Linked DNA regions of Caenorhabditis elegans. The protein of the gene in region 2 purifies or fractionates together with the protein of the main gene of each other region. This does not show direct contact. Each region holds a gene or a part of one and is shown on either strand. Other genes may lie near its edges. The genes, in order: F38H4.3 and penr-1.

Region 1 (6,597 bases), on a different chromosome or scaffold from region 2:
TTATCTTACGTTCGAGAAGTGCATAATACCAGCTATAAAATGATTAAATTTAGTTCAAAATTCTAAACGCTCTGCACACCAATCCCTAGTTAAAGGCGAAGTACCGAAATTAGACTAAAACCCCTTGTAAATCGTTCATTTTTGTACATTTTTGGGGTGAGCTTCTATGCCTTTCAACAATCCAAGTACAATCACAGTTAAAATGTGATGTGCGCATAGTGTTTTCGGCGTGGAACGCGCGTGGGAGAAAAAGGAACCGGAAAAAAAATTGCGCGCGCATTGTGCGTCGAACTTGAGATGCATTTTGCGAGCATCGCGAACATAAATTATGGACACATTGTGTTCTAAGTTCTCTTCGAAATTCTCCTCGTTGGTGATCTTTGTCATTTTTCTCTATAAGATCCACAGAGCCAATATGGGCCCATCGCAAACCGTTCGCGATAGGCGCATGACGGGTGGTCGCCACATGCGATGCGCGCATTATGGCTCTTCATCCACTATGCGCACATCTCATTTTAACTGTGTATATAATAAGCTCGTGGATTTTTTTGAATTCGTTTCTTAAGAATCGAGAGAGTTTAAGAATAGACTTTTCATTTTGAAAGAAAAAAAACAACAATAGAAAGTGACAGAAACTATGCAGGACACTATGAAAAAAGAAATACTTTGGTCATCAGAAAGAAATTTGTTTTTGTTTTCTTCAATCAAATAAGTTTCTCTGAAAAGTCGTCATCAGTGACTTCATTTCGATCTGTTTCCAACGTCACGCGCACTGGCCTCTTTGGGGAATGGATCTGAAAATAGAAACATTAATGCATATTGTGATAGTATACCATCTACGTCAGAACTATACAACACATACCTCTGCTCGGCCATCACTCTTGACAGAAATCCGTGTGATACCAATATCTGTTCCATTTTCTTTTTCAGACAAATCAGAAGCGGTTGAAACCGATGATACAGATTGCCTGTCATCTTCTCTATGCGGAGCAAAATTAACCGGATGCATTCGAACAAGAGCATTTACTGCAACAAGATGAGCATCTCCACTACCCTCATCATCAGAATCCGAATCTGATTCATCTGCATTTGCGTACATCAAGGATCTTCTAGGGGAACGAGGTGGTGGGATCGGAGAGCCGGCGACTTGTCCGTAAAGGTTTGGGGGTGGTGATAGTGGAAGTGGTGGTGGGATTTCATCAACAATAATTTCCTCTTCTTCATCTTCGGTAGTTCCTTTCAAACTTTCATCAGAGCTCAACTCTCTAAATTCTCTGATCCTTCTCTCCTCGGCGTCAGGGGTTCGTTCAGCACGAGCTGTGGTTTTTGACGACATTCCAACTACACTGATCGGCTTTCCAACATCAGAATCTTCATCTCGCTCTTCATCTGAAAAATTTCGTAATTTTTTTTGACTTCTCCACGTTTTTTACTCTCAAAAACGTTTGAACCCAAAATTCAAAAAGAACCCACTTACCCTCAGAATCTGACATTTCTGACTGTGTTGCTTCAGACATTTTTTCATTTTTGGTAAAACCATTTTCAACTTCTTCCCCATTCCCTTCGACAGGCGCTGCTTTCACGGGTGCAGGAGATGAAATAGTGGCAGATGTTTCAGCTTGAGCTTCACTTCTAATAAATTCGATAACTGACATTTTCCTGTTGTCACCCTCCACTTCTACATCCGAGTCCTCTGATCCAGATGGCATTTCCTTTGAAATTCCAGATCTTCCTTTCAACGCGGGAGCTTCATCAGACTTTTTCAGTGCTTTTTTCAGCTCATTTTCATCAATTTCCTGTATAACATTTGTTGAAATTGAAATATTATCTTCTTCAACAGCTTCTGTTCGATCTTCTTCTGTTGTTTTTAACACATTTTCCATTAATATATCATTCATATTTATACTCTCTGCATCTGGTTCACTCGGTTTTTGAGGTGGTTTTTGAGATGTTTGAGGCTTCTCTACATCATCGTCTACAGATCGTTTTGCTGCAGAAATCACATTGTTAGTTGGAGGAGATGAAGTTGGATCTGATGCAGGTTTTGGTGTATCTCCTTGTTGATATGTTAATGAACCACCTGAAAAATAGGTTTGAACTGACTGAGATGACTTAATGTATACATTTTGAAGTGTATCTCATAAAAGTAGAGTATCCGATTACACATTTCAAATAATTTTTAAATTTTATGCTTTCTAATTTTTCATCTACTGATTAACTTTTGAGCAATCTTTTTTTAATGTTTTGCCAGATTTTTACAAAACAACATTTTCAGATTGAATATATTTTTTTATTCAAGAAATTTCACAAAAAACAATTTTCAGATTTTAAATCTTTAAAACTAATTTTCTGAAAACTCACTTCTAATCAATTGAACTGGCGGCTCTTTGAGATCTGAATTACAACAACAACAAATTCTCTGAAACAGTGATGGAGATGATGTGTCAGGTGGTACTGTTGAATCAGCCACCCGACTCGTTGACTCGTCCGTAATTGTCATGGATTCTAGAATTTTTGAAATAAGTTCAACACTTTGGGCGGAAAATTGGCAAATTTCCGCAAATTTCAAGGTCTGTGAAAAGCGGCGACCAAATCGGATTAGCTGACAAGTTAACAAAAGTGACAAAGTCAAGTGGCGGAAGTGAGTCATTCTGGTTTGTTCGTTTTTTTAATGGGTCAAGTAAATAGATATATGTTTCATTGGATTGATTTTCAAAAAGTCACAAAAAAAGGTAAGGCAATTTGATTAAGACGGGGAAATATAGAAAATATCCGAACCCCACTTCAAAATTAGCAACAATTTATTTTGCTCCAGCTCCGTACTCATGGGCGCATGTAAATACACTGCGCCTCGTAAATAATGGAAAGCAAATAAAACAAATTGGAAGAAATGCGGATGAGGAAGGAATGGAGTTGAGGAGGTGGCGGTAGTGGAAGGTGGCGCAAGAGAGACTAAAAAATGCAACCGTTGCCAAATGAAACAATTTGGACTGTAGACAACTAATGGTCAATATGAAAGCTGGATTTGAGTTTGTAGTTCTTTTTGAAAAAAAGTGGTAGTTGTTGAATTATAATAACTTGTATTCAAACAGTTTAGTGCAAAATTTCCCAAAGTTTGGCAATTTGCCAAAACTTGTCTCAATATTTTTAAAAAAATAAAAAAAAATTTTTGAGGTGTTTCATTATGATACTTATTTATTTTGAAGCGCTACTCAATTTTTAAGTTGGTTCTCATGAACATTTTTGCGAGCGGAAGTTCTCAAATTAGTAAAATTTAGCTCAAAACTTTGTCTTGGTTGGTTGCAGATTATCTTTTACGCGGAAGAAACCAACTAGTGAAGAGTTAGAATGAAAATTTTCAAATGCGTTCCAAAAATGTTAGTTCCAGCTTTTCTGCCTTCAAGGCGACCTATGCCTGCTTTGTGCCTACATGAGTGCCATTTCTAGAACTTTCATCAAAATAATTGAAAAGAAAAATGAGAAAATGAAAAACCATCAAACACCAAACACCGGAGCAAACGGCGAAATGTTAATAATAGGCGGTAGGCAGGTAGGCACATAGGCACATTTATACGCTTACTAGAAAAACTGAAATTCAATAAAGGTCCAAGTTACATTTGCGTGTGGGGCGAAAGGGTTTCAAAATACTACTTCAACATTTTGATTCAAACATTGAAGTTCATAATGCCCCTTTTTGCCATTTTGACATATTATGGAGCAAACAGGTGCAAACATCAGAAAAACTAACCATTAAGTTCAGGACAAACAAGGTTTTCTTGGATTCACTTTTTATTTGCATCAATTAAACTTAAAGTAAGACTTGGGCAAACTCTGGGCTAGAACTTGGCAAGAGTTGGGTAAGAAGCTGGAAAGCACCAAACTTGGGGAAGAAGCTGCCGGGAATTGCTGAGTTGTAACCCTCATTGCTCTACTTTGACGATTTATATCTCGGTTATCTTCAATTTCATCAAAAAGTGTTCTACAGCCAAATTATGGAGAAATATTTGGCACGTATCTTGCCAGTTGACAATTATTTGATAAACCCAAGAAGAACCTAGATAGAAGCAGTCAAAGTAGACCAAAAGGGAGTGCAAGTCTAATACGAAAAGTACGGTAAAATGGTTGCTAAAACTGATAAAAATTAGATTTTTCTATTGATTTCAAATAGACAAGTTACACTGCGGATTAAGAATTTCAAATTCTGTGAGTGTGTGTAAACAAAGAGCCTAGATTCGAATCTGATGAGGAACGGGGGAGAAAACTATTTGAAAAAGAAAAAAACCAAACCGTTCGGCAATTTAATTCAATGAGAATACAATTTCTCAAATGTAGGTCAACAAGTGTTTGAGTACACAAAATTTTGTTTCAATTTTTGAAGAACTTACTGCTTCTCATTTTTGTCAAGTAGTAATAGTACTAGAATAGCGATTCTTAAGAAGAAAAAGAAGTTAGTAATGGAGATGTGTGGAATAATGAGAGGTGAACCAAAACTAAACGGATGGTGAAGAACAACATGAAACTCGAGAACACGGAATTACATATTTGGAAGAAGGAAAAAAACATGGAAATGACGAGAGACGCCGAGAAAATTGGAACCCGGCGACTGTGCTCAGCGGGAGCCACTCAAACACTCGTTCGAAATTAAGATTGTCTTTTTCTTTTTCTTTCCTTTTCGTTTTCTGTTGTGTGATAGAGAAAAGAGATTGCAAACAGACACACTCTCGAAAAAGGCGGGTGCCATGCCAACTGGTAGGAGCACGCGCCTTTCCCCCCCTTCAACCCAAAATAATAATGAGAACAGAGAAAGTGAAACAGAAGAAACATAATATTGACAATTGAGATTTGTGAACTGAAATATTATGGGAGACAATTTAAAAGAAAAAAGAAAAAGAAATAGTTGATCATTGTTTGAAAAGAAATACTAGGAACACAATGGGTGTGATTAGAGGGTGTGCAAGAAACGGAAGGAAAGAAATGTGAAAAGAAACGGAAAAGAAGGTGGTCTTTTTTTGGATTCAATTTATGATGTCATTGATATCTTGAAACTGACAAAAAAAGCTAAGTGAGGAAGTTGCAGGGGCTGACACTTTGAAATGCCTAGGCATCCCAACCGGGTGAAGCGTGGGGCGCCTTTCTCCCCTACCTTCATAAATTGCCATCATGTTAATTATTGGTGTTTCATAATAATGGAAGATTATATATTTAATTGAAAATAAATGTTTTACAAGCTATGAATTTTTTTCTCTTCGGGGCGTTTTTTAGGCGCACGGGCGTGCGGGCGAGGCGCGAGCTGGTGAGAGAGCGGGCGTATTTTCCATTTTTCTGCAAGTTGCTTGGTTTCTAAATTATTTGGTAATAAAATGTTTATCATGTTTCAATGCTCTGGTATCCAGGCACATATGCACGTGAGTAAGCGTGCTTGCCTGCCTTGTAGGCAGGCAAATAGGCATTCACGTAGGTGTTAGAGTTGGCTTAATCAAGTTCTAAAAATGGCGCAATATTTATTAGCTACTTTTATAATTTCTAATAATATACAGTTATTTACTAGGACATTTTTTCGCAAAGAAAATTTTTGAACAGCGAACACTGAAAAAGCAATTTTAATTTTTCAGTATAAAAAATTCCGTATATAAGAATTGATATCAAAAAGTTAAAAATACTAAACGATTAAAAAAATGCCATTTTTAACTTCGGTGGCCAATCATTCCAACTATTCACTATTTTCCTCTTTTCCAGCAAGAAAAATTATTATTTTTGTGTCTACTTTTCACATCCACTTGGCTCATGTATAACATTTCAACAAAATTATCTATAACTGATGACCAAACTTCAAAGTCTGTGCTACCAAGTCACATAGTGTTCATGCAGTCAATTCACCCTAGCTTCACATAACCTTTGCCTATTTGCTATGGGATTTTAGGTAAGCTTTTAGACAAATTACCGACAGTTTTTTTTTGAAAAAAATGGAGATTACTATTTGAACTGATGGAATAATTTATACAAGTTCCAACCAAAAAATTAGTTCAAAAACATGATAAGTAGTAAAACTTGTTCAATAACTACAGCATGAGACACCCTACAATTTTAGTAGTAAGGTTTCCTTTCACTTCACTGAACTTCATTTTCTTATGTTTTCCTTTGAACAATTGTACCTCTTGAAAGGTCTATCCTTGTTGTGTATTTTTTTCAATGTTTTAATATATAAAATCGAATAATCGAGAACAGAAAACAACTATACGATTCGTGTAATATCAAATAAAGTTGCATTGGAGAAATATACACCTGTTAGCATAACACTTGAGTTTCTATAGTTACCTAGCAGGAAATGGATATAAGATAACACAATGAAAGTGTTTTTATTAGGTTTGACGAGATTAAGCAATTGAAGAAATGAATGAGATGATGCTGAAAGACTAGTCTATGAATTCATAAGAAGGCAATCTTAAGCTTATCGTGACCTAAGATGAAATGATGTATATTGTTTTATGAGCTTGTCGCGATCTCGGAGGAGATAGGTCTATTTATCATTTAAAAGTTTATTTATTTTTGCTCGAAGGAATTATGAGTATAGAAAATGAAAATTTCAGTGTAAAGTTG
Region 2 (3,831 bases):
AAAATCGGGAAAATGCTCAAAAATGGCCGGAAATTCGCCAATTACCGACTTTTCGCTTCCGTTTTCGACAATTATCAACTTTCCGGGCATTTCTGAGCTTTTTCTGGAATTTTTCAGCTGATATTATTTTCAGATAAATCAAAGATTTTTCATTTTTTGGCACTTTTATTTAATGAAAATCGTTTTGTAGAATCGCCGAAAATTTCTGTGAACTTTAAAATTTGATTGAAATTTGCCTATCAAGCTTCCACTTCTACAACCTATGAGAAAATGTGCAAAATTTACGTCTGATCGTGGCGAGACCCACTTGGAAAAATAGCGTGTGCCTTTGAACTGAAATGCCAAAATTTTAGCGAATTAGAGTACTATCGGCAGGTACTAGATGCTTGTCAATGAAATTTCTTACAAAAATTGAAACATCTAATCGAATTATCTCCATTTCTACAAATTGACGACACAAATGGGAATCGGATTAATTAGGAAAAAAACGAACAGGAGAAAAGTATGAGGAAAAGCTATAAAACTTGCAAATCAACCACTCAGTGGACAATTACAATGATTATAACAGATTTTCATTAAATATTTTTGAAACAAAAACAAAACAGTGTGAAACAAATTTGGTTGAAATTCTCGAGTAAATGAAGAGTATCGCGAAAAGTTGATCATTATTGGAGATTAATAAAATAACGTTTAAAATTAATGGGGAATGGGTGGTTCACATGCTGATGGCAAGGCTTTCGTAAATATCCTTTTGAGCGGCCGGCAGTTTTTCGAACTTCTTTTGCAGCTTGATCTCGCGTTCCTCGTCAGACAGGTCACGATACCTGAAAAATATTTTTTTTTAAATTGAAACTCGGCAAAGAAACACTCACTTATCGTTCTTTGTTCTACAGAAGAGGCTGAATGCCGTCTCTGGATCCTTCTTGCTAGATCTCTTCTTTGGTGTGCTTGAAATTTCCTTTGAGTTGTATTTCTTGTTGAGCATCTTCATCTTGTTAACGATTGATCGCTTCTGTTCTTCTGTCAGATTTGGATGCGTATCAAGGAACTCCTGAAGTTGTGGAATGTACTGCAACGAAGCTTCTCGGAGTAGCTCGTCGAGTTCTTTCGCACCCTCCGTATCCGCATTCATTGCTTTGTAGGCGTTTTTCATCGGTTCACCACCGATTCCTTTCAACATAATCTGATGTTTCTTTATGTAAAGCTGTATTTTTGTAGGTGGACGATCCGGCATTGACTTGTACTCGACCAGAGATTTTTCACTGTTCAGATAGGTGGATATGGCGGCACACGAATCGTTCATTTGCAGATTTTTGAATTTCACCGCACTTTTCAGATACTTACGGAAGTCGAGAACGAACAATCTGAAATAATAAATTTTTAATTTAAACCAAAATTTCAGAAAGAGCTACCCTGCGTCAATATTATCATCTCGACGTGTTTCAGCCCATTCCGCAACCTTGTTTTCCATGTTATGGACTGTACTCGTTTCAGACTGCCTTTGAACAAGGAATTCTAAGAAAGACTCAATCAAAGGGCGCATTACATCAGGCTCGTAAATCGCTTGACCGTTGTCTTCATTTCTCGTCTCTTCAGCCTCGGTATGAGTAATTTGCTCTTCTTCGAAGTCCTCCGGCTCGGAATCCTGAAGAATCATCTTTTATTAGTGAAGAAATTGGGTTATTTTTACCGAAGAGTCCGCAGCTGGCCGCTTTTCCGCTTTAACCGACTTTAGAGCAGCAAAAGTTTCCGATTTCTTCTCTTTTTTTGGGCTCGATCCAGCGTTACTCGCATTCTTGCGTTTAGTCATTTCAACTGAAAATTGTAACGTAGGCAAAAAAAAATCGATAAATTCATAATCCACAGTTATTAAGTTTTAAAAATGCAAAATACACTTGATTTATGATAAATTCCGTGTTTAAAAGTACTTTTTACCAGAAACTTAAGGTTAATATAATATTTATGCGATAATTTTGAAGAAAACGAAGAAAACCAAAAGAAACAGTCAGTCACCAATAATAATTTGGGTGCTGGCACGATGCCAAGCATTGCATTCGAAATAATATTCGATGTTCGCGGTGGAGCGCACTTACCTCGCACCAATTCACTTTCGGCGGCAATTTGAATTTGAGTTTTTTGTGGCTGTTGAAAAAGTCTCGTTCTGTGATGGAAAATTGTATTGTAATCCGTTTTAAAGAAGCAAGAATTTATTTAGATCGGTCTCGATGCGCAAAAATGGTTATCGTAAATTTTTTTGAACATTTTCGGCTGCTTTCTTGTGTTTTCTAGCATTTTGATCAATCATATGTATTATTAAACGACGTAATTATTAATAATTACGTCGTTTTTATCAAACTCTGTCGTTTTCTGTTTATTTTTCAGTTAAAAATTGTTCTAATATTTTGTTCTAAATTAATAGCAAAATTACGATATTTCAAAAAAACACGAGTTGTTTTTTAAGTCGAGATTATTTTTTGAATGAATAGAAGCTTTATTGTGCAAAACTCATTTTTACAGAACATCATTCAGCGGTACGCTGAATCAAGATTAAAATGTTTTTAAAAAGCATTTCGTTTAACAATCTCGTTGTCTGACACATCCGGAAGGTCCTCGGACAAATCCCTCAGAGCATTGACACACGTTCACAATACACTGCATAGTGCACGCTTGTGGACGTGGAGTAGTACAGCTCGGCTCACACGAAGATCCGCAGGTTCTGAATGTTTCGTTACGTCCGCATCTCTGAGGAGATTGAGATGGGAACGGAGTGGAGCTTCCGAAACCAGTTCCAGGTCTGGAGCATTGAGCTTGACGCACACATTGTCTGGTGATCTCGTTACGAACGTATCCGCTTCTGCATTGGCAGACGTTGTTGATGCATTGCTTGGTGCACATCTAAAAACACGCTTTGATCTTCGAAAAATGCGGGAGGTGAGACGCATACATCTCATATGATTTCGCATGGTTAAGAGCGTACTGACGTCACAATTTTCTAGGAAAAAAACCCGCATTTTTTGTAGATCAAACTTAGGCGTGCAGAATTTTCGCGTGACGGTGTTTGCACAGAAATACCCGAAGAGTCGGCAGATAGCTTACCGGGTTCGGATTGGTGCATGATGGCTCACAGGCGGTTCCACAAGTCTTATATTCTTCATTTCGTCCACGGCATGGCAATCTTTGCCCACCACCAACTTGTCCACCTACTGGCAGAATTTGAGCTAAATTTAAAAAAATATGTCATGCTTATTATAAGTTTCAGAATATTTACCATCTTGAGCGTAGACGTAGCATCCAATTAAAGCTGCGAGAACGATGAAAACTTTCTGGAAATGGTTTACTTAAAGACTTACAGACACGAGGAAATTTTACAAATATATGTATAACAAATACTCACCATTGTTGAGAACTTATGACACTTTGAAAAATAGCAAATAACAATTATTTGTAGTACAATAACCGCTGGTCGCAAATTGACTCTGCCTTTCCATCCATTTCCTTACCATTTTATACCCTTTTGCTGTGTGCCGCCCAGTTCTCGAAAAAACGAAAAAGAAGTGACAAAGTTCGGAGGATCAACTAGATACCAGTTGTTCACACATAACTGACGCGTATTTACATGATGACTGATCCAAGTGACTTTTTGTTGATGTTTCCTTGTTTAAATTGGTACAAACATCACAATGCTCAATAGAATAGAAGTGTTCTCAATTTCAAAAAGTTGAGAACAAGAAAAGAAACCTGATATTTGGCATCAAACTTTCCATATTTTTTTTTCGAGTTTTATATCAGGGGTAGGCGGCAATTGTCCTTTTGCTAAATGCCAGCTTGCCG

The links.
Region 1: the proteins of penr-1 (region 2) and F38H4.3 fractionate together in Caenorhabditis elegans (co-fractionation; one large-scale study listed by BioGRID). This does not show direct contact.

What each region holds. Positions count from the first base shown.
Region 1 is NC_003282.8:11,840,350-11,846,946, reverse strand, and holds F38H4.3 (BMERB domain-containing protein), read right to left. Parts: upstream 4,527-6,597; 5' UTR 4,386-4,526; intron 2,506-4,385; 5' UTR 2,501-2,505; coding exon 2,362-2,500; intron 2,081-2,361; coding exon 1,478-2,080; intron 1,390-1,477; coding exon 863-1,389; intron 795-862; coding exon 705-794; 3' UTR 578-704; downstream 1-577.
Region 2 is NC_003283.11:5,267,469-5,271,299, reverse strand, and holds penr-1 (HMG box domain-containing protein), read right to left. Parts: upstream 1,816-3,831; 5' UTR 1,811-1,815; coding exon 1,691-1,810; intron 1,646-1,690; coding exon 1,413-1,645; intron 1,365-1,412; coding exon 873-1,364; intron 825-872; coding exon 716-824; 3' UTR 556-715; downstream 1-555. Other genes in the region: spi-2 (TIL domain-containing protein), read right to left, coding at 2,575-2,895, 3,097-3,218, 3,269-3,323, 3,395-3,397.